2 linked regions of the Danio rerio genome follow. The protein of the gene in region 1 interacts with the protein of each later gene in a pairwise test. Links are inferred from orthologs where the notes say so. Each region holds a gene or a part of one and is shown in the gene's direction. Other genes may lie near its edges.

The links.
Region 2: the proteins of rchy1 (region 1) and aig1 interact in binary tests that used the Homo sapiens proteins (3 or more experiments, as listed by UniProt). The link is inferred for Danio rerio from reciprocal best matches to the Homo sapiens genes RCHY1 and AIG1.

Annotation. Positions count from the first base shown.
Region 1 is NC_133180.1:9,858,505-9,863,172, forward strand, and holds the end of rchy1 (RING finger and CHY zinc finger domain-containing protein 1), read left to right. Parts: intron 1-2,390; coding exon 2,391-2,561; 3' UTR 2,562-2,668; downstream 2,669-4,668. UniProt on the Homo sapiens protein: E3 ubiquitin-protein ligase that mediates ubiquitination of target proteins, including p53/TP53, TP73, HDAC1 and CDKN1B. Mediates ubiquitination and degradation of p53/TP53; preferentially acts on tetrameric p53/TP53.
Region 2 is NC_133195.1:40,767,614-40,774,155, forward strand, and holds the start of aig1 (androgen-induced gene 1 protein), read left to right. Parts: upstream 1-2,576; 5' UTR 2,577-2,769; intron 2,770-4,901; 5' UTR 4,902-5,031; intron 5,032-6,542. UniProt on the Homo sapiens protein: Hydrolyzes bioactive fatty-acid esters of hydroxy-fatty acids (FAHFAs), but not other major classes of lipids. Show a preference for FAHFAs with branching distal from the carboxylate head group of the lipids.

The DNA of each region.
Region 1 (4,668 bases):
AAAACGGAGGTGGGCATTCACCTATCTGATTGGGGCTTTTCCTCAATATTAAGTAGCCTACACACAGTTCTTGCATCCTCTCGTTGTAAGTTCAGACTTCGCAAGTTTGATATGAAAAACAGACTCCCGAGGACATGTCCGGTAAATCTTCAATGGGAACAGTTAACTTTATAACCTCATTCACATCATCCTGGCTATGTTGTTTCACTTTCTCAACAATAAAATGAAAGCATGATTTAAGGAACTGCCTATTTTCATTTTGATATTAACAACTTAACAGACAGCAGAAATGTTGAGGCGTCGTGCTGCATATATGAGCTTCATCTTCACTGTGTGGATATTTATAACAAAACGGAGCCTATAACATTTCTGCCTCCTTTCATCTTCAGTACAAAACATTCCCTCTCTTCTGCTGAATATGAGTTTTCATAATCAATAATGGCCATTATAAAAGTATAATGTACAATACATTACATTAATTATTAACCTATCTTTACGCTCAGCCAAAACACGTTACCTGAGAACAAGTAACAGATTCAAGAGACCAAAGTCAGGAGTATGTCATTAAACAAAGACAACAAGATAAATGAAATATCACGATTAACAAATATAGTGAGATTAGATCTAGTTTGAGACCCTTGATGAGTCTGACGAGCACAGCTCTCATCTGACTCGATTTGCTGCAGCGCATGCCAGAGTGTGTGTGTGTGTGGTCATGTAATGTGCGTTTTCCGTCGTTTTGGTGTAGACGGAGAGCTGTTCAGAAACGCTGGGTGAAACGCTAGTGAGGATGCGGATCGTTTTTATTCTAAAATGCTGTTTTAAAACTAAAACGCACTAGTGTAGAGGGGGCACAATATCTAGTTTTTTTCTTGTGTGATATACAGCATCAAAATATATTTCGAATTTACGATTACGATTCGTAAATTCGATTGCCAGAATGACAATATAATATCAACATAATGCGAGTATACTCTTCCAAGATCATATTTTATTCCTAAGAATATTTAATTTACTTTTAGTCATTTTAACAGTTTAGGAATTAGGCATTGAATGTGAAAATACATCCTAAATAAATAAAAATAAATGTTAACAAACGGTGTAAGGTAAAGTCACAGAGGCTGTGATATCTGCTACCAGATCTATTTTCAGTTGTCAGACACCCAAATCAAAATATACTATAGTAATTTGTAGTAAACACTATAGTGCTTTTTTTAACCATACTGAAACTGACACCTGCAATAGAGAGAGAGATGTTGCACAGTCCGCTAAAGGGTTGCTAGAATTGGATTTTATGTATGGACAATATATACAGTTGAAGTCAGAATTATTAGCCCCCTTTAATTTCTTTTTTTTCCTTTTTTTATATTTTCCAAATGATGTTTAACAGAGCAAAGATATGTTCACAGTATGTCTGATAATATTTTTTCTTCTGGAGGAAGTCTTATTTGTTTTATTTCGGCTAGAATAAAAGCAGTTTTTAATTTTTTAAACACCATTTTAAGGTCAATATTATTAGCCCCTTTTAGCTATATTTTTTCGATAGTCTACAGGACAAACCATCGTTATTGTTAAGTGGTGATGTGTTTATGACGTATGTATACTGCTTCCGGGTCCAAGCCGCCATTCATTTGAGTGAAGAAATCATTCGTTTATGATCACGTTTTATTCCTATCACACATTAAAGTTAATTTTACATAAAGTCATAGTGTACACAACAATCTCTGAGCTTGCTGCATAACAAATACCAAAATCTTAACAATTTATAAAACAATGAATCACTTTCTGGCCATTGGATATTAGGCATGGACATATATATTCCGATCGAGATTTTCGAAAGTATTAAATCGCTTTGTAAACGTTTATTATTACCATTTCATGAATCTCCCCATTCAGTTGAATAGAGCGCTTGGACCCGGAAGCCGCTCCGCGTGACGTCACACTTAACAAGCGGATACAATAACTTGGCTAATTACCCTAACCTGTCTAGTCACCTAATTAGCCTAATTAAGCCTTGAAATGTCACTTTAAGCTGTATAGAAGTGTCTTGAAAAATATCTAGTCAAATATTATTTACTGTCATCATGACAAAGATAAAGTAAATCAGTTATTAGAGATGTTATTAAAACTATTATGATAAAAAAATGTGTTGAAAAAATCTGCTCTCCATTAAACAGAAATTGGGGAAAACAATAAACAGGGTTAATAATTCAGGGGGGCTAATAATTCTGACTTCAACTGTATGTATTGCATCACCAAAAATGATTGCGGTCATGTCCGTGTGTTGAGCGAAATGTCCATATGTATATTGATTATTGTGTCAGGCCTAGGTTGTTTTGATTAGTGGAAAACCTTTTTCTCCTGACCCATGTGTGTGTTATTTTCTTCAGATCATATGCAATGACTGTCAGGCTCGCAGCACCGTCTCCTTTCACGTGTTGGGCATGAAGTGCAGCAGTTGTGGCTCTTATAACACAGCTCAGGACGGAGGGCTAATGGGAACTCCTGCTGCAAACACACAGACGCTTCCGGAGGAGCCCGATGCCGAGCAGCACCACTGAAACTCCCAGATAAGCTTTTACTGGCACAGAGATACAACGTTCACTGCTTCCACATCTGTACTTCGGCTCATTGTGTTCTGCTTGAATAAAATGATTGTTAACCTATTGATTTGAGCCACTTTGGATTGATTGATTAATTAATGAAATGGAAACCAACTGTGATCCAATACACTACCTGAATAAAGTCTTGTCGCTTTTCCAGGTTTTAGGAACGACTAATAATAACTTGACTTCTAGTGGGTCATTTAGTATCAGAAGTGGCTTATGTGAAAGGCAAAGGCCTGTAGATTACACGTATTTTACCAAAAATATGATCATGAGTTGATTTTTAATTATTTAATTAAGACAGTAAGCCCTGACTTTGCTTAGACAAAAGTCTTGTCACTTAACAGAAATAATGTCCAGTATAGAATATGAAGTCATGCTGCAGTGGAAACAGAATGAATATTGTGTCTGAGCTTGGAGGACTGCATCCACACATCTCTGCAATGACTCTAATCACTGATTAATAAAGTCATCTGGAATGGCAAAGAAAGCGTTCTTGCAGGACTCCCAGAGTTCATCAAGATTCTTTGGATTCATCTTCAATGCTTCCTCCATCTTACCCCAGACTTGCTCAATAATGTTCATGTCTGGTGACTGGGCTGGCCAATCCTGGAGCACCTTGGCCACCTTTGCTTTCAGGAACTTTGATGTGGAGGCTGAAGTAGGAGCGCTATCAACTGTCTTATTAAATGTATTAAATGTCTTGATAGCTCAGGCTGTTGATGTTGCCGTCTACTCTGCAGAACATCTCGCACTCCCCCATACTGAATGTAACCCCAAACCATGATTTTTCCTTCACCAAACTTGACTGATTTATTTAAGGATCTTGGGTCCATGCAGGTTCCAGTAGGTCTTCTGCAGTATTTGTGATGATTGTGATTCTGTTCAACAGATGATTCATCTGAAAAATCCACTTTCTGCCACTTTTCCAAATGATCAACTAGAAGTCAAGTTATTATTTGATGCTCTTACAACTGGGATCGACGACAAGACTGGTTAGGTATTGCACACATTTATTTAAGCAGTTTGTATAAAACATTTTTTTTTCATTTATTTATTTATTTATTTATGTTGTGAGTCCTCTTTCTGGTTTATGAAGTAAAGCCTGCTATATAAGCTTGTATTCATTCAGCAGCAATTACAGCTGTGTGTTGATTCTTATATCCCAATTCGATTCTCATAATTTTGATTTAATTCAGATCTACAGTGGCCAAGAGAGCTCAATGTAATGAAATGGAAAACAACTGTGATCTAATAGATATGTAATAGATAAGCATGTGTCTAAAAAAAATACTATTATGTTTTACTTTTATTTATTTTATCAGTCCTCAAGTACGAGGAATATTTTCTATTTTTGAAGTAATCTCTAACATAAACTTATATATTCAGCATTAATAATGCTGCTTATTGTTAGGACTTAATCAAAATTACGAGATAAAAAGTTTGAATGGTGCCTTTACTCAAAATGATAACTTAATTCAAATTACGAGATAAATGTTTGATTTACTCAATGTCAACTTTTTGAGATAGTTTAAATTACGGCTTACTAAGTCAAAGTTACTAGATAAAAAGTTTAAATTATAACTTAATATGTTGAGATAAAGTTGAAATGGCTTAACTCGAAATTGAGAGATTAAAAATTTAAATTATGACTTAATATTACGAGATAATTTAAATTATGACTTGATCAATAATACGAGATAAAAAATAAAAATTATGACTTAAGCAATATTAAGATAAAAAAAGCTTAAATTATTGCTTATTAACCCAAAATTGAGAAATTATTTCTTACTAAATTAAAATTACAAGATTAAACGAAATTATGAATTTATAACTTTTAGAATTGTGAGATAAAAGTCTAACTGAACTATGCTGCCTGCAGGGTTTAAAGCAGAATTGTTCTAGTCTCCACCTGTAACAGTTACTCACAGTTATATTGCACCGCCATGTTGAGATGTGGCATTAATAAACTTTCCACCAGCAGCACTTTGTTTTTTTCCATCAGCAGCAGTGAATGTTGAGGTCACCGTTGATGACAGGGTTGTGAAATACAGCTTTATAT
Region 2 (6,542 bases), on another chromosome or scaffold:
TTAGACAAAAGTGCTCTGCGACCACATAGTTATACATTGCGTTTATCTCTTTGGAAACCCGAGTACTCTACTGAGGAAACTGACCATGCCAGAAAATTGTCCATAAGAAATGGAACAGGTAAGGCAAATGTTTTTAGTAAAAATCTTAAACATTGTTGTATTTATTTGAAGAACATACATAAAAACTGCAAGAAAATTGTTTTAAAAAAGTTCGGTATGAGCATGCACTTTGAAATGAATGGCATTAAGCTTAGGGGCCATCCAAATGTATTATTTCCAATGTGGCCCTTTTTTACTTATTTTGTTTTTTACTATTAAAACTATTTGCTTTAGTAATGTCAGTCAATTAAAATAAAGTGGTTAAATGATAATAAAATTTAAAAAACAATTATGGACTTTATTTCTAAATGGATTGTTAAAAAATATGACGTAATATTAGATACTGAATTATATAAAACATTATATCTTGATAATTTGTTTTGCCGTATTGTCTAGCCCAGACTAAAGCATGTATTTCCAATGAGGCAGCGTTGGTATTAGCAGTCTGTTTGCTTTAAAGGTGCTAATAGGTTGCTGGATAGATGGGCTTCAAAAAAAATTCTAATGATCATTAACTTTGCAAGGACATGTCGACGATGTTCCACTAGCCCTAACCCTAACCTATCAATCTATTAATACTCTACTAAAACTCTAATGAGTGTTAGTTGATATGTAGTTGCAAAGTTACTTAGTCAACACACCGTCTAAAGAAAACCATCAAAATAAAGTTTAACCAGGTTTTGAATTCTTTGTGCCAGTCTTTGCTGTATGGAATTTTACATCATATATATAGCACAATATATTTTATTTGATAAAAGATATATATATATATATATATATATATATATATATATATATATATATATATATATATATATATATATATATATATAAATAAAACATAATAGTTTTAAAAACCTATCTCTAATAACTGATTTCTTTTATCTTTGCCATGATGACAGTAAAAACTATTTTACTAGATGTTTTTTAAGACAATTCTATACAGCTTAAAGTGACATTTAAAAGCTTAACAAAGTTAATTAGGGTAACTATACTCTATATGAATTATAGAGTAATTCGGCAAGTTATTGTATGATGATTATTTGTTCTGCAGACTATCAGTAAAAAATATACCTTAAAAGGGCTGAAAATTGTGTCCTGAAAATAGCTTTTAAAAAATTAAAAACTGCTTTTATTCTAGCCAAAGTAAAACAAATGATTTTTTTCCAAAAGAAAAAAATATTATCAGACATACTGTGAAAATTTCCTTGGTCTGTTAAACATCATTTGGGAAATATTTAAAAAAAAGAAAACCAAAATCAAATAATAATTCTGACTTCAACTGCAAATATTTTAAAAAGTTTATGCGTTATGTAAGTGTTTATTAATGTAATTAAGCAGTGAGAGTTCAGTTAATTGCTCAAAGTGTCTTATGAAAATAAGGAAGGCTTGCAGAATGGCTCACTGAATCAATCAGTAAATCAATAACTTTTCCGTTTTCTCAGAACACTGACCTCTGAAGAAGCTTTATAAAATCGACAGAATTATCATTGGAAACTAGCCTATAGTGAAACAGTTGGTTCATGATTATCCATCCTTGAACCAACCAATACAACATAAAAAAATAATAATGAATGAGAGAATATGAGGATAAAGCTATTTTTCTGTCTTGGAAAGCAGCACAGTCTCCTGCTCTCTTCGTCTGCCTCATATGCACAGGTGCAGTGTTTTAGACAATGTCCCCTGGACTCTCACTGACCCTCAGCTGCACTTTCCGCTTTAAACCTTTAATAATACATGCAAAAAGAATATTAAATCATCTTTGCTAACTGTATTACAGTAGTTTATATCCAGATGCCTCAGGTATAAAGTCTCTCCGTGTTGAAAGTAATTTTTGTAGGCCTATTAGTTAAGACTTATAGTATATAAAAAAGGCAACATCAACGCTTTAAAAATAGCTAATTTATTCACTCAAACAGCTATCACAGCGTGTAGCACACCAGATCTTCATTAGTCTATTTTTTTGTACTTATTTTTGTTTGGCTGAAATAACAGATTAATACTTGTATGAGTTTTGAGTATGACCATAGAATACTTCCAAATACTCCAGTACTACTTGAATTGAAATAGGCCAATTATTAGTTCTTAAAATACTTTAAGTGTGACAGTTGTAAACTTAATTTCTACATCTAATATTCTACATTCCACTCTATCTATCTATCTATCTATCTATCTATCTATCTATCTATCTATCTATCTATCTATCTATCTATCTATCTATCTATCTATCTATCTATCTATCTATCTATCTATCTATCTATCTGTCTGTCTGTCTGTCTGTCTGTCTGTCTGTCTGTCTGTCTGTCTGTCTGTCTGTCTGTCTGTCTGTCTGTCTGTCTGTCTGTCTGTCTGTCTGTCTGTCTGTCTGTCTATCTATCTATCTATCTATCTATCCATCCATCCACAATGAAGTTGACAACTTACCTCAATAGGCAACTGAGCAGGTTCACAAAAACAGTGCACTTTAACTCCACCTAGTGTTCATTGTTCAGATGTGGGAATCACAGGAAGTACTGTTTACTAGGCCCGTTTGTACAGGCACAGTAGGTGTTTGTTCAAGGTTACAACGCGAAATAAAAAAGTAGGGTACAGTCATGTTTTACTTATTGGGCCTGGATAACGAGCAAGATAAGGTTGCATCCCGTTTGGAGGGACGGGGAATATATATAGGTGAGATATTCCCGCTCAAACCCTCAGCACTTCAGGGTCAAATGAAAATTGCTTAAGCAATTTGGCAGCTGCACATTTGCCTAAATCTGAAAATAATACCCACATGGTTTATGCACATTGTGAATTAAATTGATGTTGGAAAGTCGGACTATTTACTGGGGTATCTGTACCTTATTGTTACTGTTTACCGTTTGTTTTGCTGCAGTCTGTTTGCAATCAGAATGAGCTGTAGAGTTATTTAGGTCTGTATCCGATTCCCGGATAGTGTTTTTTTAGTGTTTTCATGTTTTAAGACAACTTAGAGATTTTTTTTTATTATTAGTATGTGGCTTTTCATCGCCAAAAACACGTTGTGAATTGTGTATTATAGCTGCTTGCTATTAATATTATTTTGGCTTTAACAACAAAACAATTATATTTTACCTAGCAATTGGTGTATGTTAGATTTGAGTGTTTTTCAGAATAGGTCTTCTACTTCAGCAGCACTTACACATTTTTTTTCATATGAGTTTTTTTCTTTCTTTTTATAAAGGGTTATCGTTATAAATTTACAAATTTATATTGTGCATACAATTCTACAAATTCTGAAAAGAAGCATTTTTGAAAAAATGTTAAAAACAGAAAAAAGTTTGTACCTGAGATTATTCAGTGTTCAAATTTTTGTGCTAGACATACAGTTGAAGTCAGAATTATTAGCCCCTCTGAATTATTAGACCTCTTATTTATTTTTCCCCAATTTTTGTTTAATGGAGAGCAGATTTTTTTCAACATATTTCTAAACATAATGTTTTTAATAACTCATTTCTAATAACAGATTTATTTTATCTTTACCATGATGACTGTAAATAATATTTTACTAGATATTTTTCAAGACACTACTATTTAGCTTAAAGTGACATTTAAAGGCTTAACTGGGTTAATTAGGTTAACTAGACAGGTAAGGGTAATTAGGCAAGTTATTGTATAACAGTGTTTTTTTCTGTAGACTATCGAGAAAAAATATAGCTTAAAGGGAGTAATAATTTTGTCTCTAAAATGATGTTTTTTAAAAAAACTGCTTTTATTCTAGCCTAAATGAAACAAGTAAGATTTTCTCCAGAAGAAAAAATATAATCAGAAATACCGTGAAAATTTCCTTGCTCTGTTAAACATCATTTGGAAAATATTTTAAAAAGAAGAAAAAAATTCAAAGGGGGCTAATAATTCTGACTTCAACTGTACATGTAAACTAACACCTACTTCATGACCTCATTTGCATATTCAAAGATAACATTTGAGAAAGCGGGTAATACAAAAAAGATCATTTCTAATTTTATCAATCTACTGATGAAGTATGATGACAACTATTGACATTATTTGGTTTTCTTATGGCTATAGATCAGGCATGTCCAAAGTCAGTCCTGGAGGGCCTTTGTCCTGCATATTTTAGTTCCGATCTTAATTAAACACACCCGAACAAGCTAATCAAGCTCTTTCTAGGTATACTAGAAACTTCCAGGGATGTGTGTTGAACGAAGTTGGAGCTAAACCATGCAGGACACCGGCCCTTGGGGACCGAGTTTGGACACTCCTGCTATAGATGATCTGAATATGATTTCTTCACATATCCTATTGCATTTGAACATTAAGCAGTACACAAGTATTACATTACAAACATTTCCCAGCTCTGCTGTCATTTCCTGGGTTTAGATCCTGGATTTGAGGATTTCAGCTTTATGCAGCTTTTATCCAGTTTTATTTCAATGTAATCCAATGGGCCATACCAAAAATGCCTGAATCATTAGACCCTTTTAAAAGTAATCAAAAATTAACATTCTGTACTATTTTTTCACAACAAACCACCAAACATTATTTTAAAAAGTGATAATGCTTTTTTCTTTCTAGACTGAAGCATCATAATGTTCAGGCACAGGGTAATGTTGCAGAAAGTCCTGCTAAAACAAGTTCACCACATCCTGTCTCATATTCAAGCTCTGAGCTTGGACACGCATTCACAGAAAAAAATTAAATGCGATTTATTACTGATTATCCCAGCAGGGAGCCAGGGAGCCGGATACAAAGAATGAAATAAGCTTTGTTTCATTCTGAGACACTTTCTTGTGGAAAACCATACATTTTCTCTTTGATTTCAGAATAAATTCTGTTCCACAATAACCTGTTGGGTGACTGTTCCAGACATCTAATGGAGCAGCGGTGGCATTTACAAGAATTCTCTACTGAGGGTGTCAGCCATCATTTCAATCTCAGCTGAGAGCTTGTCAGGTACTGATTTTGTCTCCTGCTTAACACACACACACACACAAAAAAAAACTACTGCAACTTTTTTGTTAAGTTTCTGTGATCCTGGAGTCCAATATTTTGCTGTGCTTTTTACCAAACCTCTTACTTAAATTAAATCTTCAACCTAAATATGAATAATCTAGGGCTTCACATTAACCCCTGCCAAATGCGGGTTGGTTTCACCTGTGGCGGGTTAGACAGACACCCTCTCTAGCTACTATGGCTAGTTAAAGAAAGTTTTCTGTGCTGGCTCGTCCTACTTTTCAAGAGCTTAAGATGTAAGCAGCAGCGGTTGACGCTTTTACTTTGACCATTCTTTGAACAGATTATTAAAGAGCCTAACATAAACTGTGTGTCGTGATCATCCTTTCTCTATCACACAGAATATTTTCACCAGCTTTATTTTGCTTGCAGTTATTTTTGTTAGTATGGTTTAATTATCCTCTTTTACAATAGCATTGCTCTATCTAAATTAAATCACACATTTTTACAAAGTTGTTATTCAGAATTCAGATTTTCATTTCTGGACATATTGTTCTTTAATATCTTTATCCTTGTTTTGTGCGACATGAATTTTTTTGAAGTTGTAAATGGATTATTGGAGTGCATTTTTATACAGTTATTCTACTTTAAAAAGTCTTGTTGAATTAAGTGTGCTATTTTCCATTTTGTTGTACTTTATTAAATGTACCAGTAATTCCTGAGTGACTGATTTTGTGACTGATGCTGTTGCAGAGCTTATTTGTCACACATGCATGTGTGCATTAGTATTGCAATAGTCCTGATAAATCCAAGGGCCGCATTTGGAGGATATGAATTAGATAAGACAACAAAACTAATTAAAGGTTAAGCAAAAGATAATGATGTTATTTTTGTGCCCAATCACAGTAATTACGCAACCAGAAAAATACACGTTGGTCTACTGCAACTTGACATACCGAACAGATTTTGAGGCTATATTTGGATAATTGAGCTCAGGCAAAGGTCTTTAAGAGTTATTGGGCAATTTCTCTGAGGCAAACATTGAGAGTAGTGGTTACAAATGCAAATTTTGTCTGATGACTTACCTCTGTGGATTTCTTTCACTGTGTTTGTGCACATTTTGCTACATATGTTTTCGTTCGTTTTTTTACTTATTTTTCATTACTGAATTACTGATTTCATACCTTAAACACTGTGCTAAAATTGTAGGCACATTAGATGCACATTTCATTTTAAAAGTGGTTTAAATGTTTCCTACTTTTATATATATATATATATATATATATATATATATATATATATATATATATATATATATATAAACATATATACATATATATATATATATATATACATATATATATATATATATATATATATATATATATATATATATATATATATATATATATATATATATATATATACATATATATATATATATATATATATATATATATATATATATATATATATATATATATATATATATGTATATATATATATATATA